Pelodiscus sinensis: one gene and its partners. The protein of the gene in region 1 purifies or fractionates together with the protein of each later gene. This does not show direct contact. Links are inferred from orthologs where the notes say so. Each region holds a gene or a part of one and is shown on either strand. Other genes may lie near its edges.

Region 1 (7,486 bases):
AAAACACTACCCAGATGTAGAGCACTGTCTCCTCCAATCCCCTCCACATAAGCTGCAGAGTCTGTTAACAGTCAGGAGTCACACCACAGAACCTTACCCATGCTCTACTAATCAACCTCACCTCAAATTTGTTATTTTAGGTGCTTTGCATACACAGTGCTAGAGCATCATGTTTTGAATAGATTGTAACCTGACAGGATGCAGATAGCTATGGGATGCAGCCACTTTTTTAATCAAATGTTTTGGATTTTATTATGATACCCATTGTTCTTTTAGCCTCTCTGTACCGTGGAAAAATGCTGACTGTCACTGCATTTTTCAGAGTGTGTTTCCCTTCTGACATATAAAACTTTAACCTTCAGATGTTTTTGAATTACTCACTACAAGGCGCTTCCAAAGAGAGTCAGTGTTTTCCTCCCAAATAACTCAATCTAGCAGAGTATAAATAGTCCCCCCCTCCCTTTTTTTTGGGGGGGGGGGGAAGGTAAGAGAGAGAAATAAAGCCGGAAAGTTTCAGGTCAAGAGAATTTTTGGAGGAAATTGCAAGCGAGAAGGTTTTTAATGGCAGTAAACTGTCATTACATTCCTTTTTTAATCTGTCACTCTGACAAAAAGCCTGGCCCCCCAAAAGACCATTAACCCCAAACTTAGTTTATTTCCCATCCTACCACCACACTACACTCTTAAAAGGGAAACATATATTTCTCTCTGCAAGTTTCCACCTGCTCTGACATCACCTAATCTACTTTATATTTGAGAGTTTGTCTTTGTGTGTGCATCTGTTCAAGAAATCCCTCCTAAATAGTAAGAGCTAGGACCATCACATTCGGGATACAGCTTCCTCTTATTATCCATAACTTAAAACACAGTAAGAATCTGGTTGGGCCTGGGACAGGATTGCTCCTCATACAACCATGAAGAGAGACAGAATCACCAGGCATGTGGCAAGGGGCTGACAGGGTTCCCCACACCCAGGACTGCCCCAATTTGTGAGGGAACATTACTGGCTGTTCCCCTTCCTCATGCAGTGGAACATTCAGTGTTTGCTACATTCCTCACTCAGGCTGCAGAGCACAGAGGACAGACAAATCTGCACCTGCTCCAGTCAGGGGACATGCTACCCTCCCTCAGCTGTGTCCCCAGAGCTGTATCCGCCATGGATTGCTGCTTCTCACCTGACCTCAAGCTGCTACAGTGATCCTCTCTCCCCAGGGCAGCCTGCATATTCAACCACTCATTTCTAGCTCTACCCCAAGGCAATGATTCAAATGAAACATGGACAGTTGCATGATATTTTCCAAAACCCAAAAGTTAATTGAGTTCAGGACTCGAGCAACACGAGGTAAATCTTTAAGTATTATAACTGAAATTCACTTTTTTCAACAGCACTCTGTAGAGTTCATTTCCTCCAGTTTGTGTGAGGTCTTTCACGGTTGATGATTTATATTGGAGGCACAAATGGCACTAGGATTGTCAATGGGAAAACCACTCATTTGTTAAAAATTAGTTACAATTATCTTATGACTCTCCACTCTCCCTTGTTCCGATGCTAACTTTTGCCATTTTACAATTGCATTTCCTTGTTTAAATCTCCTATGTGTGTGAAACTGGCACGAACAGCCTGCTGATTAAAGCTAGACATCACATTTGGATAGCACATTAGATGCGTGGGTAATAATTTAGTCAGTGTAAGATGCCACCACCTCAGCCACAGGACTGTCCCAATCTTGTTACGGTTCTCCACAAAGTTATAAGCCACACCACTCTCCTATGCCATCTCCCCTAGGAGAAAGAAAGAAGCCTGGACACTCACTGGCCCCACAGGGCAACTATACAAGGCCCTGCGCAGCGATGAAGACGCACAAGGGGCAGTGGCAAAGTCTCTCCTATGGGCTTTCCGAGGAGCACAAGGCCAGGAAGGGGGTGGGGGCTCGCAGCAACAGGCAGTGACACATTTCCACCACTCTCTTGGAAGTGCCGCACAAAGAACTCCGTGACTGGCCTACCGAGTGTGGCAGCCACCTTACCCTTAACTCCAACCCATGATCCCACACTTCCTGCCTTACCCTTAACTATACCCCTTGGCTCACAACCCCGCTCTCCTTACCCTTAACTCTGCCCCTTTTCCCACAACCCCACCTTACCCTTAACTATACCCCGTGACCCGTAACCCCGCCCTCTCCTTACCCTTAACTCTGCCCCTTTTCCCACAACCCCACCTTACCTTTAACTATACCCCATGACCTGTAACCCCACCCTCTCCTTACCCTTAACTCTGCCTCTTGGCCCTCCTTAACCTTAACTCTGCCCCTTTTCCCACAACCCCACCTTACCTTTAACTATACCCCATGACCGGTAACCCCGCCCTCTCCTTACCCTTAACTCTGCCCCTTTTCCCCACAACCCCACCTTACCCCATGACCGGTAACCCCGCCCTCTCCTTACCCTTAACTCTGCCCCTTTTCCCACAACCCCACCTTACCTTTAACTATACCCCATGACCGGTAACCCCGCCCTCTCCTTACCCTTAACTCTGCCCCTTTTCCCCACAACCCCACCTTACCCCGTGACCCGTAACCCCGCCCCCTCCTCACCCTTAACTCTGCCCCTCCCCCGCACCTTGTTGTTATACTCTTCCACGAAGCTGCCGAGCGCCAGGCGAAAGCGCTTGTCGGGCCGGACGCTCCAGTTCATGGCGTACACGGTCCATGGCGCCTCGTACTTGTAGATCTCCTTCCGCTTCCCGTGCAGCGACATGGCGGGGCCGCCGGGTTACCGGGGTGGGGGAGGGGCCGGGGGCCCGGGTGAGACGCGCGGGGGGAGGGGCTGTCCCGGGCCGAGCGGGGCCTACGGAAGCCGGGCACCGACGGGCCGAGCGGGGCTGCGGGGGGAGACCGCGGCCGGCTCCGAAAGGCGGAGACGCTCAGCGCTCGCCGCGGCGGAGACCGTTTGGGATTCGGCCCCCTCACACAACGGGAGCGGAAACCACGCGGGCTGCCCCGCCTCCTCCGCGTCCGTTGGCTGAGTCCGCCGCCACTCAGGGCATCGCGGACAGCCGCTGGGTGAGGAACCTGCCCGTCAGAGCCGTCCCTGCCTCTTATTGGCCCCTGTGCCGCTCGTTCTAAGGAGGAGCGCGCCGCCGTAATAGAATCCTCCGCTCGATCCCGCCCCCGACGGATGGGATGCTCTTTCTCAGCAGCTCATTGGCTGCGACGGGTCGCAGTGGCTTCGCTCCTTCATGAGGCGGGACCTTCTAGCACCCTGTCATTCTATTGGCTGGCCAAAGGTGTCAGTAAGGGGTGAGCTGGTGGGCAGCGGGCGGGGCTTGGGGCCCCTGTAGGGGTTAACAGAGCTCTTTGAGCTGTGTAGAGTTACAGGTTCGAATCCCAGGTCTTATAACTGGGTGGGGTATAACTACCCTGAGCAGGTCAGCTCGGCAGTGTTTAGGCTGGTAAGTTTTTCTGGAAAAAGATTTTTTTTTTTGCCTAAAAAGATTGCCAGCTGTCTACACTGGCCGCTTGAATTTCCGCAAGAACACTGACTTCCTGCTATCTGAAATCAGTGCTTCTTGTGGAAATACTATGCTGCTCCCGTGCGGGTAAAAGTCCCTTTTGTGCAAAGCTTTTGCGCAAAAGGGCCAGTGTAGACAGCTCAGATTTAACCAGAAAGGACACTCTCTAAATGACTTAGCCACCTGCATTCTGCTACAAAGACCTTTTACATCTGCACTTGAAAGGGAATCCTCTGAACTGTCATTCATGTTAAAATTCGACACTTGCCAACAAGGACTTAACAAGAATTTGAACTATCTCACCCATTACCAAGACAGTTTCCCCAATTATCACCTGTAATACCATTAACTCACAAACATCCCACTCTCCCTACCTTTAATATCAGCAATTCACAGACACTTACCTTCCTTCCTCCCCCCCCCCCCCCCGCATCACCCTTCTGTTCTGCAATGTGATTTGTCCTTTTCATATTTGTTCATTTTTTTTAATTGTATCCTTTGGTATATATGGTTGTGACTACTTTCTTCCACTATTTGATCTGAGGAAGTGGGTCTGGCCCACGAAAGCTCATCATCTAATAAACCATCTTGTTAGTCTTTAAAGTGCTACATTGTCCTGCTTTTAGCTCAGATTTGTGCAAAAAAGCCCCGATCGCGAAAATGGCCATCGGGGCTTTTTTGTGCAAAAGCGCATCCAGATTGGCACAGACGCTTTTCCGCAAAAAGTGCTTTTGCGGAAAAGCGTCCATGCCAATCTAGACGCTCTTTTCCGCAAATGCTTTTAACGGAAAACTTTTCCGTTAAAAGCATTTGTGGAAAATCATGCCAGTCTAGACGTAGCCCTCCCGTTTAGGGCCCTGAAATAAGGGCCAAGCAAGCAGTCCCTATGCTCTGCTCTTTTGGAAATTATGCTCCAGGCCAGCCCTTGCAGGTTCATTGAAAGAATTGGTGTGGCAGACTGCCACAGCTGGGCTACCCCAGGAAAGAGTGCCGTACTGTGCACAGTCAAAGGGTGCATCCCATAATGGATAGAAAAACAAATGAGGTTTCTGAAGTGTGGTGGTGATCATGTTTGCTTAAGACGCAAAAGTTCCCTCTTTCAAAACCAGGCAGAAACACAGGGTATCTGTTTTTGAACCACGTCTAGAGACAATCTGTACGGGCTCGTGCTCCACATGTTGCATTTCCTCACCCTTGTGTCCTGCACCAAGAGGCGGGACTATCCAACATCAGTTGAGGGTAAGGAACCCCAATGGGCCAGTGTTCATCCCACCTTAATCCCACAGCCCGTCAGGGACATCAGTTGGCCGCTCCTTCACCAAGCCGTGAGCATAGGTGTGTACCTGGCATGGTTCACCCCATCCCAGACGCCTGCCCTTCTGCGGCGTAAGGGAAAACCTGGCACATGCATATCTGGAATGTGCCAGGTTGCAGTCCCTATTCCGGCTCCTTTCCTTTCCCCCTTACCTTTTTATTTACGCACACCCCATCTGTGGCCCCACAAAGTCGCAAGACCTCCTCGTCAGCCTCCTCCTGGCCCTGGCGAAAGCTCATGTACAATACCAGGAGGAGGATGCTGGATGATGGGGTGCACTGCAACTGGGGGGGCCTACGTCCATTCCTCCCTGGTCTCATGCCTCTAGTCAGAATTCTTCTGGGTGGTGTCCACTGGATCCCTGGACAGCTTTGAGGAGCAGTGGATGCTGTCCAAGGTTCTCTGCTCAGTGTTCCCATCTGTTTCCCACATTTTAAACCTTTGACCTGCACCCCTTGACCCTGTTTTTCATCATTTTTCTCCCAGAATCAGTTGAGTCCTGGCTCCAGTCGTCCGTCCTGCAAGGCTGGGGGAGGGGCTTTTAGAAGTGGGTGGGCGCCCCCTGGGTTCAAATAGCAAAGTTAATATGTGTCTCCTTGCTCAGGCACTGACTCTGGGGCTGCAGATACAGGTGCCAACTTTCCACTGCTCAACTCCTGGCTCCACCTCCTCCTCCTTGTTCCTTGCCTCTCCCACATAGCCTCCTGAGGGTCATGAAACAGCTGATTGCAGGAGGAACGGGGCAGGAAGAGATGGTACTGATCGGTGGGCCAAAAGATGCTGGAGATGGGAGAGGAGGCACCTGATGGGGCCTGCTGACAAATTACTGTAGCTCTTTGGTAAACTGTGGCTCCTTCTCAGGCTCAGGTTGGCCACACCTGGCCCAGTATGATCCTCACAACCAGCCGAGGTGCAGGAAGCACCATTATGCTCATCTTGCAGAGAAGAAAACAAGCACAGATGGAGGTAAGTGACCAGGACAAACTCTTGCAGCATTCCTGACTCAGAAGTGACTTCCCTGAGGGGTTTCTGCAGTGGCCCCTGCAGGACGGATTTGGGCATGTCACTTAAATAGAGATGGGAGCCATTCACAGGCACTACACATCCACAAGGGTGAGGCCCTGGGAGACCATAGGGGTGCTGCAGCCCACTCCAGCAGAGAGACGGTTACAGAAAGCCAGGGGAGGCGTGTGCAACCTTGGCCTATTAGAGCAGGGAGCTGTCAGCTGATTACGGCCAGGCTGGGCCCTATAAAAGGCTGCCTGGGCAAAGAGGCCTATACTCTTGCTACAGCTATGGATTAGGGGGGACCTGGCTGCTTGGGAGGCTACAGAGGCTTCCTGAGACAGAGCAGGGCTGGGGAAAGGCAGGTAGAGCTGGGGAGCCCTGACCTGACACAGGGGCCTGAGGGGTACTAGGGCAGCAGCCAGGGCAGAAGGCAGCAGGTCCACATTCCCTTACCAATAATGAGTGGCTGATTCAGACTGCAGTTTGCTCCTGAGGCAGGGGCTGGTGGATCACTAAGGCTGGTGGGTCCAGGGGATTGGGGTCCCCTGAGCGGGGAGGACCCCGGAGTGCAGGGGCACTGCTGTGGTGTAGTACTTTGAGGAAGGACACTGTGGGCCAGAAGGGACATGGGGCCTGAAACAGCACAGAAGACAGGTAACGGAGAGCAAGACCCTAGTCAACAGGGGGTGCTCCTGGCTGAAAGAGCTAATTCCTGAGGAGACCCAGCAGGAGGTGCTGCGCCAGGGAGCTGACCCTGCTACAGAGACCTACAGTCTGTATCTGGTAGCCTGCATCCCACAACCATCCCTGGAACAGATCCCTCTGTTCTAGGCAGGCACCTTTTGTCCGCCGGCTCTAGTCCTTTTTCCTGGCACTGTGGATGTTGGCACTGGGTTCAACGGGTAACTGCAGCTGCTGAAAATCTCAGCAGTCACCTGCTGCAGGCTCTGCCGCACAAAGCCTAAATCAGTCTGAGACTGCAGAGCCCACAGCGAAGCATTCCCTGGAACCATGCCTGGGAAAGAGGCGTCGCTGCCCTGCTGCCACGCAGCTGCCCCCCAGGGCTATCAACCGCTAAGCTTGGCTCGTGGGTTACACACTAACATCCCTGCCTGGGGCTACAATTCATTTCAGCTCTGCGCGATCTGCCGCTGGCAGGGGCAGAGCGGCCTGTGCAGGATTTCCGGTGTGTACGGCAGGATCCTCGAGATGCTTCTCGTCCCCGAGCGATGCCAGGGAACGGAGGAATCGGGTCCAGCATCGTGTCCGTGCCAGCGCCCAGCCTCCTTTGAGGAAGGCCCAAGGAACTTGGCGGTGCTTCATTCTGGGGTACAAACTGCCCTGCTGGGCACTTATCTAAACGCATGAGCTGTGTCTAGACTGGCAAGTTTTTCCGCAAAATCATCTGCTTTTGCGGAAAAACTTGCCAGCTGTCTACACTGGCCGCTTGAATTTCCGCAAGAACACTGACAAGCTCATGTAAGATCGTCAGTGTTCTTGTGGAAATACTATGCTGCTCCCGTTCGGGCAAAAGCCCTCTTGCGCAAATCATTTGCGCAAGAGGGCCAGTGTAGACAGCTCAGTGTTGTTTTCCGCAAAAAAGCCCCGATGGCTAAAATGGCGATTGGGGCTTTTTTGCGGAAAAGCGCGTC
Region 2 (7,827 bases), on another chromosome or scaffold:
GCCCGTACAGTGCGTAGGGGGAATAGTAAGGTCCCGTGGCGGCGGGGACGGGCACTGGGGCGCCCGGGGTGGGCAAAGGACTCTTGGAGTAAGGGTGGTAGCGGCTGCTGAGTCCCAAGGCGTGGTGCGGGCTGCGGAGGGCCAGCGTGCCGGGGCTGCCCGGCGCCCCGCTGGTGGGGATGTGCATGTGGCAGGCCATGGCCGCGGCGGCGGCGCTGGCCAGCGAGGAGGAGCTGGGGTAGCCGGAGAGGAGTTTATCGGTGCCCGGGAAGGCCGTGTGGGTCCGCAAGTGGCTCAGCAGCTCCTCGGAGGTGGCAAAGCGCTTGTCGCAGGGTCCGTTGGCCGACACCCAGTTGCAGATGTGGGGCTGGGGGTCGTTGGGGAGCATGAAGCCGTAGGGGTAGAGGGGGTGGCCGGCCAGCGAGGGCGGGGTGGCGCCGGCCAGCGAGGAGTGGACGCTGTGCAGCGGGTGCGTGGGGTAGACCAGCGGGTAGCCGGACTTGAGCGCCGGGTCGTGGGCGCAGGAGGCGCTGGCGGCGCCGGCCAGGTGGCTGGCGCAGTGGTAGCTCAGGCAGTAGGGATCGCGGCACAGGCTGGCCGTCATGACGGAGGGCGGCGAGGCGCCGGCCAGCGGGCTGGAGCCGGCCGGCTTGCTGCAGCCCAGGCTGCCGGCGGCGGCCAGCTGCGCCCCGACCAGGCTGCCGGACTTGGTGGGGTCCAGCGCCACGCCGTGCGGCAGGAACTGCGGCGGGTAGCCGGCGTAGGCGCCCGCCAGCGCGCCCGGGTAGCTCATGCCCGCCGGCGGCAGCGGGAAGACCGTCTGGCCCGGCTTGTAGGGCGACACGGGGGCCACCAGGCCGGAGCCCAGCACCGAGGCGGACGAGGTGGCGGGGCCGCTGCTGCTGCAAGAGACCGAGTCCGCGGCCTTGGCGCCCGGCGCGCCCTCGGGGTGCGGCCCGCCCTCCGCGTTAATCCCGCCACAGCTGACGCTAATCCGGCTGTGGCCCAGGCTGGCGCCGCCCGGCCCCCCGTCCGCGCCGCCGCTGCCCGCCTTGCCGCAGCCCTCCGCGTCCTTCTTCTCCTCCCCCGCCGCCTTGGCCTCGGCCGGCAGCAGCCCCGGCGAGCAGGCGGAGGCGCTGGAGCTGGGGCTGCCTGTCCTGGGCGTGAACGGCTGGCAGGTGGCGCTCGGCACCCGGAATCCCGACTTCTCCCCGCCCGCGCCCCCGCCGGCGGCGCCGCCCGCCGGGCCCGGCTCCTTCTTCTCGGCGCCCGGCTTGGAGTAGGGCTTGAAGCTCGACTTGTCCTCCACGCCGATGTCGCTGAGCTTCAAGGGGCCCGCCTTGGCCTCCTTGTCCCCCGACGCGCCGCTGGCGGTGACCGAGGAGAGCTTGGAGGAGGGCGAGGGGTCGGGCTTGCCGATCTGCGAGCAGGTCTGCGCCAGCAGGGCCAGGGGGCTCTTCTTGGCGTCCAGCTGCGGGGGAGCAAGAGGGACACACAAAGGCAAACGGGTCAGCATCGGGGGGGCTCGCAGCACACACGGGAGCCGGCCGCGGCCGACTCGTCCTGCACAGGGCGGCCTGAAAAGGGGGCCACGATTTTGTGCGCATCCATCATCCTGACAGCTCCCCCCCCCCCCCTCCACCACCCCCATGCACCATTTTCCACAATGGTTTAAAAAGGCAACGGTGTCTTCTACCGGGGGGCTCTGCAAAGTTCAGGTTTTCCTCTGGCCGCTTGGCTCTGCCTCGTCCCCACCGCACGCGCGTCCCCGAAAGGGAGCGACTGCACCATTTCTAGCTGGCCGCGCTGTTTCCCAGCCGCTCCGGAGTCAGCGGGCGCGCCAGGCTGCGGGAAGGTCCGGCGCTTCCCGAGGGAGCAGACTTTCCCAGGAAAACATCCCTTCGCCCACCCCTCCTTCGGAGTGGGAGTCCCTACAAACATCCCAAGGCGGAGAAACTGGACTCGGACCCCCCCCTCCCATACCCCATCGCAAGTGGGGTGTCATCCTAAGTCAGGCTAAGATCATGGGAAGCTGGGAGCAGCCGCACCCACATCCCCTCCCCAAATCAAGCCTATTTCGCGCCTGGGGGGCCCTAAATCCAGCCCTCAAGTTGAAGCCCCCCGAAAAAAATAGGGGTGTAAAGCAACGCACAAACTTTCCCTGAAAAAAATGACAGCCCCTCCCCCAGCCCAAAAAGCAGGGAGGGAGGTCCGGCTGGATCCGCCTTGAACTGAGCAGAAGGGCCGGGGAGACTGCCCTTTAGTGACCGTGGGGAGAGAGAGACCGTCGTCGGGGGCGGGGGGGGGGGGGAGAATCAGGCATCGCCTGCGGCTCCTTACCTCGATGGGGCTCACGGGGGTGGAAGGCAGAGGCTGCAGGTACTCGGGGTGCAAAATGTGTCCCGTCCGAGCCGTGAGCATTTTCAGGACTTTGATGGGCAGCCGCTTGGCTTGGCGCAAGGGGTCCGAGGGCGGGACGGGGTGGAAGAAAGGCTTGGAGCAGCTCGTAGTATTCCCAGCGTGCCGGTTCGGCCAGGCGAGATCTGGGGCGCTGCTGCTGCTGCCTCCGCCGACGCCAAAGTCTCCGCTGCCGCCGCTGAGCTTCCTACTTCTTACCGCAGAAAGCGAGGGCGATGTGATCATGACCCAAAACCTCGCATGAAAACTGGGGCGAGTCGCGCGGGGCAGCCTCGGAAACCTTCTCTCTTTGGGAAGGGGGGGGGGAGCCACACACGCCCCCCAACCAGCAAACTCGCCCCAACACACCGAGGCAGAAAACGTCTCTGGCGGAGGCGGGGGGAACCCGGCGAGAAGGGGGGGAGAAGCACAATAATCCCGGGGTGGGGGTGCGTGCGTCTCGCTGGCTCCCCAGCTGCTGCGTTCGCCGCCCTCCTCTGCCGCCGCTCAGCTGTGCTGCTGTCGCTGCGCGTCCAGCCCCGGCTCTGGCAAAGCAACTCACTTCAAAAGCAGCGGAATTAGGCTGAGATTAAAGCCTTTGCCGCCTTCCAATCAAATGGGACCCCGAGGTGATTGGAGGGTCAAGGGGATGTGACGTTCCCCGGGCTGGCGCTTGGTTTTTTTTTTTTCCTCCCCCCCTCCCCCTTCCCTACGGTTTTCATGGGCTCTCCCCTCCCCTTCTGGTTTTTTGCTCCTAGGACTGGCTGGGCGTTAATTTTGTGTTTCACATCCCCATGCTCCTCGCTCTCCGCAGCCCCTTCGACCGGGACGTGCAAAAAAAAGCAAGGACGAAGCCAGCGCCTATTTAAGACGCGCTCGCCCTTACGAGCCGCAGCACAGGCTCTGACCGCCTTTCGCGAGTGCACTGATACAGCGTTTTCCGCTTAAGCCTGCAGCCACCCAGGCCGTCATGTTGCGGCTGTTGCTTTATGCCCCCCTCCCCCAGGGTGATTTCAGCCTTGGCACGTTTTGTAATCTTGCCCCAGTAAACCGAGGACTAGTGCGGAGCGGGTTGGGTTATGTCCTGCCTGGCCCTGGAGGAAAAGGCGGCGTAGGCAGCAATTTTTCTCCCTACTGCTTCATATTTGCAAAGTGGTTCTGGACGTGAAACTTGGTAGAGTCCGCCCTCCCCCTGGAAGCGCTCCAATCAGGCCTTTGATGACACTGGGAACCCAAGGCAGAGATTGGGGGATGTGACTGTCACATGTTCCCAGGGCTGCACCCGCCGCCCTCCTCCCCTCGCTTTTTTGGGTCTCTCCGCCCCTCCATCAATTGTCAATGCTCCCCAACCGCAATCAATCAGTTATTTGTCAGCCCCTGTCAATCCGCCCTTGATTTATGTCAGCTTTTGTTGCTGATTACAAGCCTGGTGTGACTTGAAGGAAGAAAGGGGGGGGGGGGGGAGAGGAGGGGAAAACGAAGGAGGAGAGAGACGGGCTTCTTTGAGAAAGAGCCATTCAATGTAAGGAATAAATCGTTCCCCGAGTAAACTCAATTTGTATGCCCACAAAAGGGAGAGTGACTTCTCCGAGACGCCACCGTATCTACCTTGGCGGAGCCGCTGTAATTAACGAGGGTGGCTCTGCTGGGTGTATGTTTGTGTGTATGTGTGTGTGCAAGCCCCCTTGTCGCCTGCCTGGGTTATTAAACAGCTTCTTGGGCTCCTGAGGAGGAGGATGGGGTGGTTGGAGTGGGGGGGGGGGGGAGAAGAGGACGGAGGGATGAGTAGGGCGAAGAAGACGGACCTACCCACGGCTGGGCTTTTTTTCCCCCCGGCTGCCTGTCATTCAAGCGCTTGGCACGGCGGAATGTTTAGAGGAGAATTAAGATTGACACGTGGAGCTGCCGCGGAATGTCACTACAGGCTCGGCCAGGCTGGGGCCCCAGTTACGGAGTTTTCGCTTTAGATAGCAGCCTCTTGACTCGCCATTTGTAGCTCCGCTAACCTGGACCTGGAGCTGCCCACGTGTCTGTTTGCCTGGAATCTACCGACCGACCGACCCACCTACCTGTGTGTGCAGCACGCCCATGTATGCACACAGTTTCTGGTATGCACACACGCACCTGTCTCCTCAGCCCTTCTTTAAAGATGTCACCATTATTTGTTCAGGAGAAATGCCCCCGGGGGTAGGTCATAGGCTAGCAGAGTTTTGGTTCGACTTCGCCCTTCTTTTTGGTGCTCTGGGTTGGCTTTAAAAAACACCACCACAAAAATCCTTCAGCTTCTCTCCTCAGTCTCCAACCCTCTTCCTCCAACTCATTTTTTTTTTTTTTTTTTTTTTGCACAGGCAAAATGTGTTAATCAATGTCTTACTTTTGTATCCGGATCTGACATGGGGGCCCACGCCATCTCCAACATGTACAAAAAGGCACTTCGGGAGATACGACGCGTTTGACAAGCGAAGGACAAGCCAACTGCTTGAGAGATCGCGTCCAATTCCTGACCTGGACTCCAGCTAGAGCGGGGCCTGATCCTGGAAAAGGGACGGGGAACCGGAAAGAACTCTCTGCTGTGTGCGTGGTTGCGTCTGCTGGATGTTTGAAACCCAGTCCCCGCTCCCCAGAATAGTGTCAGTTCGTGCTCTTAGATTAGTAGCTACAGTTGGCATTTTCTCCCAGGTCTTTTTCCCTTTAAACCAGTCCCTTTCCAATTCGGAAGTCACAGAAATATATGGCAGGTCTCTGTTAAAAGCCAGCTTTGCCGTTGAAAAGCCAGCCGTCCTTTGGAGATAGAGAGGTGTGTGTGTGTGTGTGTGTGTGTGTGTGTGTGTGTGTGTGTGTGTGTGTGTGTGTGTGTGTGTGTGTGTGTGTATACTAAGAGTTGAAAGGGGGAAAGGGCCCATTTGTTCGTGCATCCCCCCGGGCAGATGTTAAAATAAACGGGGTCATTTTATGCGAGGGCGAAAACTGGAGGGCAAAGCGAAGGAAGACTTGCCCCAGAAATTGACCTTCCAGCAAGACTCACAAGACTCACAACTTCACTGTAAGGTCTCTCCTCCCCCCCCCACGTAGAGTGGAAATGACTTAAATCTGCCCCGGGTTTTCCCCCCGGTTCTTTCTTTTGTTGTCAAGTCCATTTGATAAATGGCGTGCAGTAAAACTCTGGAATAAAAAAAAAGCTGAAACCTTCATTTGTGTTCATTTGCATTAAAGTGCTTGGAACAGCTGTTTTCCTTACAGGACCAGAGAGACTCCTATCTGTTTTCTCGTTGTATTTGTCCTGCCTCCCAGGGTGAAAGACTAAAGATTAATTGTCTTAAGGTAGAGTCAGTGGTGGGAAGGCTTTTTGGGGCGGAGGTGGGGGGTAGAGGAAGGCCCGGGAGGGGCCTCTTACAACGTTTAAACCGAGGAATCAAAGGTGATAACCCGGTACATGTGTAAAACAAGCGGCGTATTGATGACACGGAAAGAGGGGAAAGTTTACAAGCGAGGGGGAGAAAAAAACCCTTAATCTCAAACAGAAGCTACAGCAGGTAGTTTAATTAGCAACTTCAGAAGACAGCACGTTTAGCGCTGTGCCTTTGATGCGCAGTGTAAATCACATTTACACGTGCAAGTTTCCGGTGCTTTTTTTTTTTTTTTAAGTAGAAGCTTATAAAAAATCTATCTCGGGAACCCTCCTGAACCATTTTCCTAGCCTTGATGAACCATTTACGCTGCTCAGAACGCACGGCGCACAGTTAAAAGATGAGCGTTCTAGGAGCGTTCTTAGACGCGCAAATGTATGAGAATCGTGCCTGCTTTTGGCGTGGCGTTCTTGTTTGTTTTAATGCATCAGGAAAGATAGTTTCTACCCTGCCTCGCTCTCTCTGCCTGGGCTCCGTGTTTAATGATCCTATGAAGCCGGGTTTCCGTTTGGCATTTACGGGTTGAAATGGTGGTGGATTTGTTATAAAGCTCCACTTCAAAACAAAACTAAGATCTGGAGCAAGGAGAGAATTAATTAACGCGCGCCGATCCCCACTTTCCTTTACCTACCAGCGATTGGCAAGGATGTCAAGTCGATTTTATTTGCACACAATGGGAATGATTTATTTTCTCTTAAAAGGGAGTGGGCTGGCAAGATATTTGAGGAGGAGAAGGGAGCGAGAGAAAAGTTTGAAAATGCCTTGAACTATTCACTGTCGAGATGGCTAATCAGTATTGAGGCTCGCGGGCACTCGGGCAGCTTTTCAATGCGGTTTGCCTTTCATCTCAAGCTGGATGGAGGCGCTCAATTAAAAGCCTATCAGTTTGTAAGTAAATCAACGCCTATCAAAGTTGTCACATCAAACAAAACGATTATTATTGCAGCCCGCCTCCCCTATTAATCTCCCTCTAAAATAATCCGCTTGACAGGTCAGGCTGGTGAGCTGCAAACCCTGGTCAGGATCATCCAAAAATCCCGGACTCTTTCCCCTCGGGAAAGGCCGGAGCAAAAAAATCACCGCATCACATTGCCTGCTTGGGAATCTGGCTCTTTCTCTTGGCATTTCAGTGCCACAGTGTGTAGCTCGTGTTGCGAAAGGACGTTTGGTCTTTTAAACTGGACAACCAGCACTCACCAGGCCTCTAATTATTTTTTAAAAAAACACCCACAGTTCTTTGCTTTTTTAGTGAGACCTCCCTCCCCCAAAAAGTGAGTTGACTGGTTTGTGTGGCCGACTCGAATATATTTCCCCTATTTGTCTCTTTCACGGCTTAATTTGTATTTTGCCTCCCTTCACCCACGCAAGGGAGTTCTAAAAAGATTTGCCTTGCCACAAATAGTCGTAAGGGAGGCATTTTTGCGGATTTGTTTGACTGCAAACACGATGACTAAGAAATACGGTCCATCAGAAATACTGCGTGTGCATTTTTGGAGAAAGAAAAACTTTTTTTTTTAAATAAGAGACTGGGGGATGTGTTCACACTGAAATTGATCTATCTGCACCGGTACCCCGCCGTAGGGCGGAGGAGAGGATGGGGGGGGGGGCAATTATTTTCAATGCTGCCCGTGTTAATAAAAGAACATATTTTGAATGCTTGCCAGCCGCGGATTAGATTTCTAAACCTAGCCTCTGTTTGTATTGGCTAATTCTACAAAAATATGTAATATCAGGGTGGTAAGTGCCTTCTTAAAATATATAAGCAAGACCTATCTGAATGCATTCTTTGCCTCTTCTGCAGGAAATACAATTATATGTTCTTATGAATAGTGGTCATTTTTGAGCCATCTGCAAGATAATAGTCGTGTTTAACCTAATATGCGCTTCAATTGTCAGTGATCTGTTGAACCAACTAGCAGGAATGTACATGTTTGCCATTGTTTTGGATAACATGCATGTTCCTAAAATGTTTCCTACAGTGAGTTGTCAGGCCCCTTCCCCGTTAGTATGCTAGGAGAGAAAA
Region 3 (7,678 bases), on another chromosome or scaffold:
TAGCAGAATGGGCAGGAATGGTGTCCCTAGCTTATTTTTGCCAGACGCTGGGAATGAGCAACAAGGAATAGATCACGTCATGATTGTGTGTTCTGTTCATTCCCTCTGGGGTACCTAGCATTGGCCACTATCAGAAGACAGGATACTGGGGCAAATGGAACTTTGGTCTGACCCAGCATGGTCATTTTTATGTTGAGCAGGGCTGGATTAAGGGGGGGGGGGCTAGCCGGGCACCTGCCCAGGGCACCAACCTAAGGGGGTGCCTGATGGCAGCTGTAAGGGCGCCGTGCGGCTGGCCGCGCAGCGCCCCTTACAGCTGCCATCAGGCTCCACGCGCCCAGGGGCTGCACATATGTCGTGCGCCCGCTGCCCGGGGCGCAAATGGCTCGAGCCAACCCTGATGTTGAGCAAATATCTTTTCTGAACAAAATGTTAATATTTGAACTACCAAGACATCAGTTTTTAGTTACCATTCAACTATATCACACATGTATTTATAGAAAGGGGCAGGACTGCAGCTATTTAAAATGTATGTTATACTTACAACCAAACTAAAACCTAATATTCAAACTAATAAATTAACTACGAAGTATCATTCAAATCCTAATAACTTCTAAAGAACAAGCTTTTCCACTATCCTGAACAGCACAGAAGACAAGTTTCTATTCTAAGGAAGAACTGTAGCAATTCCTGCTGGAGGTGTTGTTCATATTCAGTTATTCTAGTTTGTTTTCTTTCGGGAATAGCTACAGTACTTTAAACGCTTCCATCAAAAAGTCTTAATTTCTATTCATATTATATATTTGTAATTTATATAATTCCTTTGCTGAAGCTGTATTAAATTATCCTGGAGATTTCGTGCGTGGTCTTCTGTGAAGATTGAATGCCAGCCCCATCCAATAAAAATGGGGTAAGTCTAGAGCACTTTAACTCTACTATTTGTTAATTTGAGAAATTAGAACATTTTTCTCCACATCCCTCCACCTATAATATCTACAATCCAATTCTACCCATGAATGTGGCCTCTCTCAATGCTCCACTCCCTGCTATTTTCCAGTGTAATGTTGTTTGTTTGTCCTGTCCTATCTAGGATTGTCTTGCTTCTCTAAATCTGTAAACCTACTGATGAACTCTAAATCCCCCTCACATTTAATTTTTGCTGATCATGCTTTTTTCAGATCTCCTCTTACATAGTTAACCCGCAAAACTACTCTGTGGCATATTTACCTTTTAAATTTCAACTCTTCTTTTATGCTAATTTTTAGAAGTTTTTCCGTTCTATTTATGTAAGAGTTATGAGTCCAGTCTGTGAAGTTTTGGTCCTCAAGTTTACATTACTTCCTCTACAATTCTTTATATACAGAATGCTTTATACAGAATACAATATAAAGCTAATAAATTGTACTAAATGATATAAAGGCTACAAATCTTATTTAAAGCATAATTAAATATTTACAAAATGGAATGCAATGGGTTACTTCTAGGGATGGGCAACCAGGAATACATGAGTAGCTTTCCTTTATCTCAGTGGATGGCAGCAGACCATGGCCCACTAGGGTTCCACCTGTGGCCCAATGGCACCTCACCTACCCCCTTTTCCCCACACGCTTCTCGCACACCAAGGCACCAGAGCCCAGCACTTATCTGCTCCTTCCCCTCCTTCCCAACACTTTCAGAGCCTGCACATTGCCTGATTTCCACTCTGACCCCACTCCTCCCATTCCCTCCCAGAGCTGGAACACCACGAACAGCTGATTTGCAGCATTCCAGCCCTGGGAGGGAAGGGGAGGAGCAAGATAGAGTCTCTCCTCTGAAAGTGCTGGGAATGAGGAAGGAGGAGAGGAAGTTTGGGGATCCAGTGCCACGTGAGCAGAAGGGGTGTGGAAAAGGGGAGCAGCCAAGGGGTCCACGAGCTGCAGCTGGAGCCCCAGTGAGCTGCATGCAGCTAGCAGGCTGCCCACTACTGGTTACTTCTTTTTGAAAAATGAATCAGTGTTCAGCACTGGATCTAGGGGCAAGTCTGGAAAGTGAAGAAAAAGAGACTTTGCACTTCTCTCACTAGGACTAATCAGGATACAATTCTCCAAAGGCTGCTCTAACTTATGTCACTTCAATGGCCCCAGAGACTATCCAACAATCAAGGATCATCAGTGTCCAGCACTTTTGCAACACACCTTTCAAAATACCTCATGTGACAAGAAAGCACAAATGACAACTAAACTCCACTCAGGGATTCCCCTACACAAGACAAATCCCCAGCTGGTTATTGAGGTCACTTTTGTACAGGTTGGATCTTGTTGATCCTGCACCCTCGGGACCTGACTAAGGATGTAAAATCCTGTTTAATTGGTTAACTAGTTAAACATTTACGTTTAGTCAGTTAACCAATTAAAAGGAAGTGAGCGGGGAAGCAGTGTCCGAGCTGGAGCGCTCCCCTCCCACCACTGCAGACAAGTGCTACTCTTGTGGGCGCTGCAGGGCTGGAGCAGCTCCTTTCCCCCAGTGGGTAGGGAGCAACTCCAGCCCTAATTGCTTAACTGTTCACAACCCTAGACCTGACTGGTCCAGAATGAGGAGATTTGCCAGACCAGGGGAGATGCCTCCCCTCCTGGCCCATGCTGCGTCTGGATTAGGGCGACAGCTGCCTCGGCCCCCCAGGGCTCTCTAAATGACACCAACACCACTGCTGCTGGGACTGGAGTACCACAGCTGGAGCTCTGTAACTGGGGCCAGAGCTCCCCGGCCATTGGAGCCAAAGGTCCACAGCTGGGACCAGATCTCCACAACCAGGACCAGATCTCCACAACCGCTGCTGGGGCCAGAACTCACGTTGTGCTGCCTATTCTCCCCCACTCCCACACCGCCCGACTCTGGGCTCCTGGCTGAGTTGCCGGTGTCCCCTAGGGCACTCCTGTTCCACCGTCAGAACTCCCTGTTCCTGAGCTCTGTAGTTGAGGAACGTTGCTGGACCAGGAAGTCCAGTTAAGGGAGGTACAACCTGAACAAAGCAACACCAGAGATGGAACAGCACAGAATATTTGTCTTTATGTCATAAACTAATCAAATTATTCACTACATCAAAAATAAGAATTAATTCAGGCCAAGGTTTGCATTGGAACTATGTATCTGAAGAACAAGGAAAAAGTGGAAAGTTGATAGGATTTGCCAGGATGAGGGGCATCATTTTCCTTGAAGTATGCAAAAACATAAGCAAAACTGTTAGATTAAAAAAAATGCAGTACCTCACTGACATTCTGATCAAGACAAAGCCTCAGAATTGGATCTTCAAGTAATAATTTTAGAAAGTTGACAGTTGCAAACTGAAAGCAGGCATATGGGCCTTCTACACTGGGTTCAGTACAGGATTAGGGCACAATACCCTATTTCTGTTCATACCTTTATAAACTGGGGGTAAATTAACAAATGTGTTTATCAGAAGTTATTAAAGTAATTTTTTATTCAAACATATCTGTGCACTGTTGGTGAGCTACAGTTCATAACCATTAGATTATTGCTATCCATAACTGGATTTTTATGATGTATGATCAGTAATCTGAATTACATGAGATTGGTTCCTATGTCTGGATGGTTCCCAAATTGACAATATTCAATATGGCCACTTGAATACTTTTGAAGTAATTAAATATTTTAACAAATACTCATAGTATTACCCTACTGTGAGCAGTCTCCATATCACATGGACAAATGCAAAAGCAGTTACTATTGAAAGATGCTATAACTTAAGCATAAGTCTCAGAAAGTAACTGTGTTATTTTCTATGTGCAAAAACAACAGAGGAGTCCTGTGGCATCTTACAGACCTACTAGTCTTTAAGGTGCCACAGGACTCCTTGTTGCAAATATAGTTAAAAAAATCAAACTCCTGGTTTTATTCCAATCAATGGTGATAAGATTTTGTTTTCTCATCTCTACTTGCTAATGACTACTTTAAAGCTCCCACCTCAATGTAGAGACACAGGAAAAGGATAAAAAATAACTAATAGTCTTGCCGCACCTTAGAGACTAACAAAAATGTGGATGAAATCATGAGTTTTCGTGGGCACAGCCCACTTCTTCAGACGAACGGAGTTAAGGGGAAAGGAAAAGGAAGGAATCCCAGTTAAGCGAATGAATCAGTTCATGACAATGAATGCTGCCATCCTCTGATTAGCTCATAACTGGACTGACACGGCTGAGGTCACAGCCCCGGGTAGACTATTCCCAGACTTTTGAAACCAAAACACTGATTTGAATAGGAGAGTCGCCCCCTCCCCCTCCCCCAGCTGCGGGGACGGGGCTTGGAGACCCGGTTTGAAACCCACCACAGACGGCAAGAGGCTGATATCTCCCCCCCCCCCCGCACTGCCACCCACAGCCTCGGGGCAGGGGCGCGCCCGCCACACCCCAGGCTGCCTCGGGGGCCTTTCCCGAGCGGGCTGGGAGCAGGGGGCTGCGGCGGGCGGGACGGAGGGAGCGGCCGGGGCCGTCGCGTCTCTCCCGCCCGCGCGAGGCGCTGCGCCCCGGGGTCTGCGCGGCCCGCCGGCAGAGGAAGTTTCTAGGGAGCGGTCGGAGGGGGAGAGAGGCGAGAAAAAGTTTCCCGGGCGGGACTCACCAGCTGCCGAGCGACCTCGGAGGAAGCCATGACGCGGGGGCCGGGGAGGGAGGCGCCGCGCGGGAAGCGCCGGGCGGTTGGAATGTAACTGGCAGCCAGAGGGTCCGCGAGCGGGGCGGGGCCGCCAGGGAGGGGGGCGGGGCCAGGCACACGGGTGGGGAGGGGCGCGGCGCCGAGGGGCGGGGTCTCGCGGGGGCGTCTTCTCCCTTCCCCGCAGCGCGATGGCATCGCTTCGCACCCAGGCCCGGGAGTGAGCGCGGCACGCGGCAGGTTCGGACGTGACGTGAGCGGGCAGCTGACGGTCGCTGCCCCCCCCCCCCCTCCCAGCCGCCTGTAGGATGGGCCGCGCGCCGCCGCCGCCCTGATTGAGCCGCCGCGCGGCGCTAACGCCGGGAGATGCTGCCTCAGTAGCGCGGGGGGGGCGGGGGAGCGCCCGGAGCCGCCGCGGCGATGGGGCTGCGCTGAGCGCCGCCGGGCGCGATGGCCGAGGAGCCGGGGCTGAGCCCGGAGTCGGTGCTGCGGTTCCTGGCGGCGCGGGGCGGGCGGGCGCCCAACGCGGAGCTGCTGGAGCATTTCCGGGGCTGGCTGAGCCCCCCGGAGCCCGAGCGCCGCGCCCGGGCCCGCCAGCGCTTCAAGGAGCTGGTCAACGCCGTGGCCACCGTGCGCCTGGATCCCGGCTCCGGCGCCAAGTACGTGCAGCTGCGGCGGCGCTACCGGCCCGCCGGGGTGCCCGATGCGGACAGACCGGAGCCGCCGCCCGGCCACCAGCCCCCCCGGCCCGGCGGCAGCGAGGCCGCCGCTCCCCTCGAGCCTCCCGCGGCGCCCGGGCCCGAGCCGCTGCCCAGCATCGCGGACGCCGCCCCGCTCCATCTCCCGGCGGCGCCGGGGCCGCTGCCCAGCATCTCGGTGACCCCGGAGGAGGCGGCGGCGGTGGACTCGGCACCGCGGAGCCGGGACTCCGCGCCTTGCGCCGGGGGGAGCCAGTCGGAGGAGATCGCGCCCGCTGCCCCGGGAGAGCCGGGCCCGGAGGATGGGGAGCTCCAGGGGACAGGCCCCCGCCGCCCGCCGCCGCCGCCGCCCCCCCAGTCGGGGAGTAGGAGCGACTTGCCTCGGCTGGGCCAGGTGCCCCCGGGCGGCGCCAGGAAGAGGAGCTCGCGGCGCAACGTGCCCCGGGGGCTGCAGCCCGGGCGCGGCGGAGAGGAGGCGGCGCCCCCGGCCCGGCTTGCTGAAGAGGAGGGAGTCGAGGCCGGTTCCGGCTCCCCGGGCAGCTCGGGCGGAGGCGCAACGCCCAGGTCCAGCCGCAAGAACTTCCGCGAGTTGATGATGGGTAGCTCCCCCCAGCTGAAACGCAGCTTCTTCCCCGGGGCCCCCAGAGCCCGCGGCGGGGACTCGGACAGCGCCTCGCTGGCCTCTTCCTCTGCTGAGGAGGAGAGCGGCGGGGGCAGCTCGGTGGCGCTGGATCCCCTGGAGCACGCCTGGATGCTGTCGGCTGCAGATGGCAGGTGGGAGAGCCTGGAGGGACTGCTCAGCTGCGAACCAGGGTTGCTCTCCAAGAGGGACTTCATCACGGGTTTCACTTGCCTGCACTGGGCTGCCAAGCATGGGCGCCAGGAGCTGCTTGCCATGCTTGTCAACTTTGCTCACAAGCACCAGCTGCCCATCAATATCAATGCCCGCACCAGTGGCGGGTACACAGCACTACATCTAGCCGCCATGCATGGCCATCTGGAAGTGGTCAAGCTGCTTGTGGGGGCCTATGATGCAGATGTGGATGTGAGGGACTACAGTGGGCGAAAGGCCTCCCAGTACCTGAGCCAAAGCACCACGGAAGAGATGCGGAGCCTGGTGGGAGCCCTCCAAGAGGGGGGTGAAGGTGCCACGAATAATGGGAGTGGCCGCTGGAGACTCTCCAAGGTGCTCCCCTCCAACCTCATTGCCTACAAACTCTCCCACCACCTCCATGGGCCTGGTGAGGAGACTGAGTTGGGTGAGGGGGCAGCGGCCTTTGGCAAGGGTAAGGAGATGAGCAGGAAAGCCTCGAATAGTGGTAGGATGAAACCTCGGCTTAACAAAATCCGATTCCGCACCCAGATCATTCACACCACCCCCTCTCTCCGTGCGGAGACTGAGGAAGAAGAGCAGGAGGACAAGTCACTGAAAACATCCTTCAAACTCAGACCCAAATCCAATGTCTTTGGATAAAGTGGGGAGACAGGCAGGGCACCTAATTAGGGGTGTAACATGCTCCTGAACCCATTGAGCATGTAGTACAGAAAAGGGGAGGTGCATGCAAGCCTATGTGAACGGCAGCCCCTCATCCAGACTTATGCATTCCTCAGGAGATAAAGCTAAATATCTTGTTTAACTTCTGAATTTCATTAAGTGTACAGTAAACATCTGCAGGGCTCTTGGGATTTAGCAATTTCCAGGAAATAGCTGCTTCAAGCCAAGCAATGGAGGCTTCCCATACTTAAGAGCTGTTTCCTTGCAAGTACAGATGGGGTAGTAGGTCTGTAAAGAAGTGAGTATGTAAAATTGGTGGGCCTCCTTTTTTTTTTTTTTTTTTTTTTTTTTTTTTTTTTTAAGAAGCTAGACATCAGGGTCTGGAAACCTAGTACACTCTTATTTTGGTTTTTAAAGTGTGATGGAGGGAAACAAGGGTGGGGAGAGAATCTAAAACTTTACATTTTGATACTAGATTATCAACCAGTACTACATACTGCTCTTCATGGACAGCTGGGGAGAGAATCTAAAACTTTACATTTTGATACTAGATTATCAACCAGTACTACATACTGCTCTTCATGGACAGCTATTTCAGGATTTCTTGAATACGTTCATGTATTTTTAAAGTATTTTTTTTCCAAAAGGCAATACTACGTGACAAAGTAGCATTAGGTACAAAAGGTCAAAAGTGCTCTGCTGACTGTCAGGATTTTTTGTAGATATTTGGGCTCTAATCCTCAGACTTAAGATCAATCTTAACTTTACCTATTCAAATCATAGAATTCAAATTCTCAAGTCAATGGGATGTCTTACAACGGATATAGTTAAGCATGATGTAAGT
Region 4 (7,608 bases), on another chromosome or scaffold:
CATGGCTCTACCCACCCAAGTGGTGCCTCCCACATGCGCAGAGGAGCTGCTGGAGCCTTTCACTGCCCGGCAGCCACCAGCTTGGATGTGGTGGCCCGTTCTTGGCAGTGTGGCGAGCCGGCCTGGGCTTTACCTGCTGCCACAAGCATAAGTAGGAAGAGGCACATCCCTATGGGGAAGGGGGAAACTGAGGCACTTAGAAAGGAAGCAACTTGCCTGACATCACAGAGTCACTGAGGTGGGAATGGAACCCAGGAGGCCGGATTCCCAGTGCCTGCCCTGAACACCACGCTCTCTGTCCTAAAGCCAAGTACAGACCCCAGGGGTTTGCCTCCCTCCCTCCTCTCCACACAACACCCTGTTCATTTCAACACAGATTGTAGACCCATCTCTCTGACACTCGGAGCACTCCACCAGACCATCCATAGCCCTGAGGCTGTCAGGGCAACAGGGAAAAAATCACTCAAAGCTGCAGCACAACAAATGTGGGCTATTTTGTGCCATGGAGCCCAGCACCCCAGCAAGAGGGAGAAGAGGAGGGGCTTGGAACACCCTGAAAGCTGATTGGTCTCATCTCTGCCAGAGGATCACAGCCAAAACACAATGATCCAAAGAGGGGACATCACAAAGAACACAGGACCAGCCAGACTCAGGTGCACCAGTTGGATTCTCTGCTAACAAGTGCCCCAAGGGGCATTTTAAGCTCTGATCAACAGCTAATGTGCTGGACAGTTAACACTTCACTCTGCCCTTCCCTGGCACCAGAGTTTGGTCTGCCCCAGTTAAGAGGGGGTCTGTGACTCAGTGGTGGTAAGGAGGCACCAGAACCCGGTTTGGGAAGCCAGCATGTTGCAAGAGAGAAGAGGGTACCAGCTCCCACCCCCAAGCAGGATAAGTGTGCCTGAAGCCTAGATCCTCATTTGCCAGCCTGGCGGAGAGGCCCCTGCGGTATCTCAACCACGCCCTAAGTCTGTGTCTACACTGGCACCTTTTTCCGGAAATGCTTAAAACGGAACAGTTTTCCATTATAAGTATTTCCGGAAAAAGAGCGTCTACATTGGCAGGATGCTTTTCCGGAAAAGCCCTTTTTCCGGAAAAGCATCCGTGGCCAATGTAGACGCGCTTTTCTGGAAAAAAGCCCCGATCGTCATTTTCGCGATTGGGGCTTTTTTGCGGAAAAGACTACTGTGCTGTCTACCGGAAAAAGGACTTTTGCCCGAGCGGGAGCAGCATAGTTTTTCCGGAAAAGCAGCTGATTTCTTACAGTAAATCGTCACTGCTTTTCTGGAAATTCAAGGGGCCAGTATAGACAGCTCGCAGCTTATTCCGGAAAAGCGGCTGCTTTTCCGGAATAAGTGTCCCAGTGTAGACACAGCCTAGGTGTTTTCCCTTGATGCTATCCCCCAAGCATAGGGAGAGCCAACAACTTATGCTCTGCGGCTGGTCTACGGTAGGGCTCCAAACCTTCCCCCTCACCCGCCATTCACCTTCTGGCTCTCCCAGGTCTGGTGCAGTTGCTGGAAGTCTGGGGGCAGGCGGCTTTTGGCTAGGACAGGGATCTTGCTGCAGCTCTGTGCACCTGACCCATCCCAGGCAGATGGTTCATTCTCCTTCCCTGGCTGTGGTCCGCTCCTGGCGGGGGAACAGCTGCCTGTCCACTTGCCCCGTGGTGGGCGGGCAAAGGAAACCGCTTCTGGACCCTTCCCAATCTGCGCCATTTCTGACAGCTGCACCACTCAGCACTGCAGCACCTTTCCTGGCATTTGCACCTGGAGAAAGAGATGCTCCCAGGAGATGAACGGCCTTGCAATGCAACCAGAGTGCATCACCACCTCCCCACCAGGCCAGAGGAGACCCCTTCGCAGGTTCTTCAAGTCAGGCCCCGTGGCTAGAGCTAGGCTGGCAGCAATAACCAGCGCGGAGTCCCTCCGGAGCTGGCTGGGGGACTGGCTACAGCCCAAAGCAAGGAGCCTGCATTTAACACTGCAGCACAGAGCCCGGATCGCTGGGCCAGCCAGGGAGCGACAGTAGTGAAGGTTCGGCATCAGTCCCTGGCTCTCTCCCTGGCATTTAACGCCACAGCCCCTAGGGGAGACTCCCCCACTCCCCAAGGAGCAAGGCCAACAAGGTCCTGGAGTCTGCACCCCCTCGCGATCTCCGCCGCCCCCCAGCCCGCTCTGTACTGCCCATGACTGCCCACAGCCTTTTCAGCACCCCCCCCCTCCACTGGGCCCCAGGGACCCACCTGATGAGCCACAGCCTGGAGACACACCCAACCCCAGGGCTGTCAGGGAGCTCAGCAGCACCCCGCCCCACAGGGGCCCCCCAACCCCTACAGACTCACCAACACCCACACATCCTCCCCGGGGTGCGTGCCCCACCATCCCCCCAAAATCCTAGCCCATCACCCATAGGAGCACCCCCCCCCGGAGCCTCCCCTACACCCACACATCCTCCCCGGGGTGCGCACCCCATCAAGCCCCCCCCAAATCCTAGCCCATCACCCATAGGAGCACCCCCCCGGGGTCCCCCCCTACACCCACACACCCTCCCCGGGGTGCGCACCCCATCAAGCCCCCCCCAAATCCTAGCCCATCACCCATAGGAGCACCCCCCCGGGGTCCCCCCCTACACCCACACATCCTCCCCGGGGTGCGTGCCCCACCATCCCCCCAAAATCCTAGCCCATCACCCATAGGAGCACCCCCCGGGGCCCCCCCTACACCCACACACCCTCCCCGGGGTGCGCACCCCATCAAGCCCCCCCAAAATCCTAGCCCATCACCCATAGGAGCACCCCCTCTGCGCCCCCCGGCCCCCCCCAGCCAGGGACCCCTCGGATACCCTCGCGCTCCCCCATTCATAAGCTCGCCCGCCCCCACCTGGGCTCAGTCGCATCCGCTCCGCTCGGGGCCGGGTAAAGCCGCTCTGCGGGTCGCCGCCGGTTTGTAAAACACCAAGGGAGCTGATTGGCCACCTTCCTCCAGCTGGAGGCGGAGTCGGCGGAGAGAGAGCCAATCGGGAGCAAGGGAGGCGGGGCCCGGGCGACAGCCGGAGCTGCGGGGACGGATTGGTCGGCGCTGTCCAAAGCCGCTGCCTGTCATCGCCCGTGTTGCCCTATCAGGCGCGGGGGAGGCGGGGCGCACTCGCCCAGCTGAAGTTGATGTCTCGCGAGATCTGAGCTGAAGGGAGTTATGGGGGGGGGGGGTGAGGCTAGACCATAGAGACGTGCATGGGTAGAGCGGTGGGCTCATGGGCTGGGGGGGGGGAGGGGGGAGTCCTCCGAGGGTGGGGGGGCTGAAGACAGGAGCTAAGCTGGGGAAATTCAGCCCCTCCCCTGAGGGCCCTGGATCATGCCCCCCCCTCACCAGCTGGAGTCAGCCACAGGTGCCCCCCCCTGCGAGGGCTCCCCCTAGGGTACCACGTCAGACAGCAGCCACGTGCCACGGTGCCACGTCAGACAGCAGCCACGTGCCACGGTGCCACGTCATGCCGTGGTCCAAGGTCTTGCCACCCAGGCATCACTTTACTCAGCCCCACGGCGCTGCTGTGTCCACAACTCCCTGTGTTCCCGCCTCCCTGGGCTGCAGGGTTACAGCTCCACCCGCCTGGACGCCTTCCTCCCCGGAAGTGGGGAGCTGGCCCAGGACGAGAGCAGAGCGGAAGGGGCAAACAGGCACTCGTGCGCATGTAGGCAGCAGTTTGGGGGGCCTAGTCTGAAGCCAACCTCTTCCCACCCTTACAGGCACAGCCTGGACAAGCTCCCCCTCACCCATTACCCCCAGCACCTTTTCGAAGGGACAAGCAGGGCGGCTGGCCGCCTCCCAGTGGGAGGTTTGCTAGGTCCAAGCAGAGTGAGGTTAATTTGGATAGCCCCCCTTGTCCACTAAGGCTAAGAGCCGACAGCTCAGCCCTCTGGTTGGCACTGCCAATGAGGGTCGAATTTGAGGTCTCTTCCCCTGCCCTCCCACCACACTCAGCCACTGGAAGGTGGAGATCTCAGACGGTGGGATAAGGAGGCATAGATGAGAAGCAGACACGCACATTCCTCGCTATGACCTTTAGTGGCTGGAAAAGCAGGACAGGACACATTCAACACCATGGCCGAGCACTGGGCCAGTGTCACCATTCAGGCAGATCAGGGAAGACCCAGGAGCACCAAAGCAACTATGCTCACAGCCTCCCGTGTGTCTTGGTCCAGCAGGGTGAGAGATCCTATCGCAGCCCCCTGGTTAACGAAGGCAGAGCTAAGGCAAGGAAAGTGGGTCTGAAAGTCAGAGGCACTGCGTGGAGGGAAGGCGGCCAGAGGACAGAAATGTGGGAATGATAGTGGAGCACAGTCTTTTAGGACTTGCCTGCTTAGAAGCAGGGCTGAGTATCAGCAGCCAGTATGGGGCTCAGGACTCTCCCCTGAGCTGGGATAGCAGCAGGAAACATCATTCCACACATCTGTTCCAGCAGTGGAGCCAGGGTTGAAAGGCCCCAGAAGAAACTCTTTCCCTCTCAGGCCCTGACAACTAAGCATGTGTCCAAAAATCAAAGCAACACAAGTGCTAATGGACAGGCGGGGATCCCTATCAAAATGAGAATGGAGACTCAGCACCACAGCAGGCCTCCTTAGGGAGAGACACTCCAGGACAGGACTGGGCTGTCACTATTAGACTAGTACCCTGGGCACAAGGGCCTTCACCCTCAGCAACTGGGCCTAGGTATTACTCACCCCCTTCATCCCCAGGCTCACTCAGCCCTGTTGTCTAGAGCTGATGGCAGCTCTAGGCAATGCCAGAACAGGATATGCTGCAGCATCCAGGAGAATTAACACTAGAGACAGCAGCACTGGGACTAGGAACAGCTTCCCCATCTGCCAGGCATACTGGGATTGTACCCAGGGAGCAGGAATCCAGGCTGCAAGTGCCAGGGGTAGGAATCCAGCCCTGCTGAGCAGTCCCTGCAATTCGTTTCTTCTGTACTAAAACAGAGCTTTGGGAATCAGGGGGCCCGGCTGTGTTTGGGCTGGAGACCAGCCAACACAGAATTGCAGTCAGATCTTGGTATCACCACTCCAACAGGCATCTCTGCTACTAGGAGCACTGCTGGGCAGCAGCCCGAGGCACAGCTGCCAGGGGCCAGCATCCTGCTTTGGTAGTGGAACGAGGACAACTCCTCTGTGGAGTCCAATTCAGGAGCAGACTCCTCTTTGGTACCAAACTCAGGCAGCCTCTGCCTTGGGGCTGGAAACATGATGGGACGGAGGAGGACCGGTTCTGCGGAATGCTCACAGCAGTTGCTCTAGGGACGTGGGAGTGGTCTTGGGATCTGTATAGGCAGCGCATGGCCTAGGCTGTAGCTGGAGGGGGTGTAGGATCCTACTCTGTTTAACCACAGCCCTGTGGCTCAGTACACGTAGTCTGGGAAGGTCAGTCACGCCCAACGGTAGAGCAGGGAAGGAAAAACCAGCCCAGAGCCAAAAGCACAGGATGGGGGAGAGATCGGGGAAACAGCATGCAGTGAGAGGGCAGAGGGATGGGGAGAGCTGGAGGCAGGGCCCCTCTCCTCCTTGCCCTGGGCTGTGAGTGGGTATTGCTGTGCTCTCGGTGCTCTGGGCACACCACGAGGGTAGGCGGGCTGGAGGCACGGGGCAGTGCAGCAGAGCTGTCAGAGGTATCTGTAGTAATAAGGCCAGTGTGGCTGGGGGGAGGGCAGGTGCAGCAGGGGTCTCGCAGTGGCTTCTACAAGTCAGTTTCACACTGTCGCCTCGGTCCAGGGCAGCGGCCCAGCACCAGGATCACTTCTCCACATCAGTGCTCTGCTCCGTACTTGACTCAGTCACTACCTAGCGGGGCGGGGGGCAGGATGGAACAGAGAGCCCACGGTTAGATCCCATTCAGCCCATGCCTGGCTACATTCCCTGCCATGGAGGATCTTGGAGGCCTGCCCACAAGCCCCTGAGCCTGCTGCCCAGCACAGAGGGGCAGGGGTAGGAGCAGAACCCCGCTCTAGCCACTAACCCATGTTCCCCCATAGCTTTGTACGGAACCCAGGAGTCCTGCCTCCCAGCGCCAACTGCTAGACATCACTTTCTCTGCATGCTCCTGTAATGCTGGGTCTGAATGACAGCTGGACGCCCCGGGAACCTTCACAGGCCTAGGCATGCCCTGAGCTTCTCCCCCAAGCCCCCGCTACCCTAGGCTTGGCACACTCCAGGCTGACTACTCCCTGTTCTTCTCTTCTCCTCACCCCCATGTCCCAAGGGGGGGCAGGGAGGAAACTCACCTCTCCATCCCGGGTCTCAATGGTTTTGATCAGAACGGTTTTCCTGGTGTGGCTCTCCACAGTCTGCTCCGGCTCAGGTGCTAGCAGGGGGTACAGGAAGGCCATGAGAAGGGAAGTGGCTGCAGCCACTGAACCCCCAATCCCCAGGTGAGGCCTCCATGCCCTGGGGTGGGTGTGCCCCAGGACAATAGACTCTGGTCACAGCAGGGGTCCCCCAGGGAAGATCCCCCAATGGGCTGTACTGCTGGCCATATGGATCTGCCGCAACCCGTCAGTTCCCAGGCCAACCCCACACAATGGCAGAGGCCAGCAACTCCCCAGGTACCTAGGGAGAGATGTGGGGAGCCCACGACAACTGACCGGGGAGGGGTGAGACTCCTGGGGAAGGTACCCACAGGGGGATCCCCCCCTCCATATCTGGCACGCACTTACCTGAAGTTTTCACACTGTAGGAGGCCAGCGAGTGGATGGGGATCGAGATCCTAGGGAGGGTCAAAAAGTACAGTGAGTGGTAGGACCCTGCTTATCCTCCACTCCCCAGCCCTCCCCGGGGGGATGGGAGGGGGGGCGGGAGGGGGGGCGGGAACAGCCCCACCCTCTCGCAACAGATGCTGGGAGAGCTGTGCCCCCAGCGCTGCACCCACCGGCTCTCCTCGCCCTCCAGCAGCTTGCGGTACGTGGCAATCTCGATGTCCAGCGCCATCTTGACATTGAGCAGGTCCTGGTACTCGCGCAGGTGCCGCGCCATCTCCTCCTTCATGTGCCGGATCTCCTGCTCCAGCCGCCCCACCGTGTCCTGGTAGCTGCCGAGCTCCACCCCATACTGGTCCTCCAGCTCCCGCATCTGGCGCAGCAGCGCCTCGTTCTGGCCACAGCAGGGAGGGCAGGTGTCAGACTGGCTCCAAAGGGGGCTGGTCTCTCCCTGCTCCCCCTACCACCCATGCTGGTCCAGCTGCTCCCCACCATGGGGAGCTGTGCCGCACGAGGCCGGCTCGGCTGCGAGTCCCTGCTCAGGCCCTGGCAATGTAACTGCTTGCAGGGAACAACGGTGGGTGCTTCACTAGGGAGCACTCTGCCCCAGGAGCAGGGCTGGGGTGCTCCCCCCCTCCCCCCGGAGAATGATACTCACGGTTCCCCTCAGCCCGTCCACCTCGCAGGTCAGGCTATTGATCTGCCTCCGTGACTCGTTCATCTCCTGCTTGGCCTGGCGCAGGGCCTCGTGGTTCCGGTTGGCTGCATCCGACAGGTCAGCGAACTGCAGGGAGAGGGGGTCAGCAGAGAGGCTGGTGTTAGCACCCCGCAAATGCTACCCCAGCGAGGTGCAGGGGGAGCTCC

Evidence for each region.
Region 2: the proteins of DCAF7 (region 1) and ZNF503 purify together in Homo sapiens (affinity purification with mass spectrometry; 4 studies listed by BioGRID and IntAct, counting the BioPlex papers as one, with this or other methods). This does not show direct contact. The link is inferred for Pelodiscus sinensis from reciprocal best matches to the Homo sapiens genes DCAF7 and ZNF503.
Region 3: the proteins of DCAF7 (region 1) and SOWAHC purify together in Homo sapiens (affinity purification with mass spectrometry; 4 studies listed by BioGRID and IntAct, counting the BioPlex papers as one, with this or other methods). This does not show direct contact. The link is inferred for Pelodiscus sinensis from reciprocal best matches to the Homo sapiens genes DCAF7 and SOWAHC.
Region 4: the proteins of DCAF7 (region 1) and TROAP purify together in Homo sapiens (affinity purification with mass spectrometry; 3 studies listed by BioGRID and IntAct, counting the BioPlex papers as one, with this or other methods). This does not show direct contact. The link is inferred for Pelodiscus sinensis from reciprocal best matches to the Homo sapiens genes DCAF7 and TROAP.

What each region holds. Positions count from the first base shown.
Region 1 is NC_134739.1:6,486,815-6,494,300, reverse strand, and holds the start of DCAF7 (DDB1- and CUL4-associated factor 7), read right to left. Parts: upstream 3,008-7,486; 5' UTR 2,758-3,007; coding exon 2,620-2,757; intron 1-2,619. UniProt on the Homo sapiens protein: Involved in craniofacial development. Acts upstream of the EDN1 pathway and is required for formation of the upper jaw equivalent, the palatoquadrate. The activity required for EDN1 pathway function differs between the first and second arches.
Region 2 is NC_134718.1:8,579,457-8,587,283, forward strand, and holds the start of ZNF503 (zinc finger protein 503), read right to left. Parts: upstream 3,011-7,827; 5' UTR 2,644-3,010; coding exon 2,341-2,643; intron 1,472-2,340; coding exon 1-1,471. UniProt on the Homo sapiens protein: May function as a transcriptional repressor.
Region 3 is NC_134711.1:236,120,150-236,127,827, forward strand, and holds SOWAHC (ankyrin repeat domain-containing protein SOWAHC), read left to right. Parts: upstream 1-4,851; 5' UTR 4,852-5,091; coding exon 5,092-6,813; 3' UTR 6,814-7,167; downstream 7,168-7,678. Other genes in the region: SEPTIN10 (septin-10), read right to left, coding at 4,612-4,641.
Region 4 is NC_134729.1:4,785,633-4,793,240, forward strand, and holds the start of TROAP (tastin), read right to left. Parts: upstream 3,005-7,608; 5' UTR 2,883-3,004; intron 1,770-2,882; 5' UTR 1,719-1,769; coding exon 1,488-1,718; intron 1-1,487. Other genes in the region: PRPH (peripherin), read right to left, coding at 5,786-5,833, 6,274-6,353, 6,706-6,755, 6,918-7,138, 7,403-7,528. UniProt on the Homo sapiens protein: Could be involved with bystin and trophinin in a cell adhesion molecule complex that mediates an initial attachment of the blastocyst to uterine epithelial cells at the time of the embryo implantation.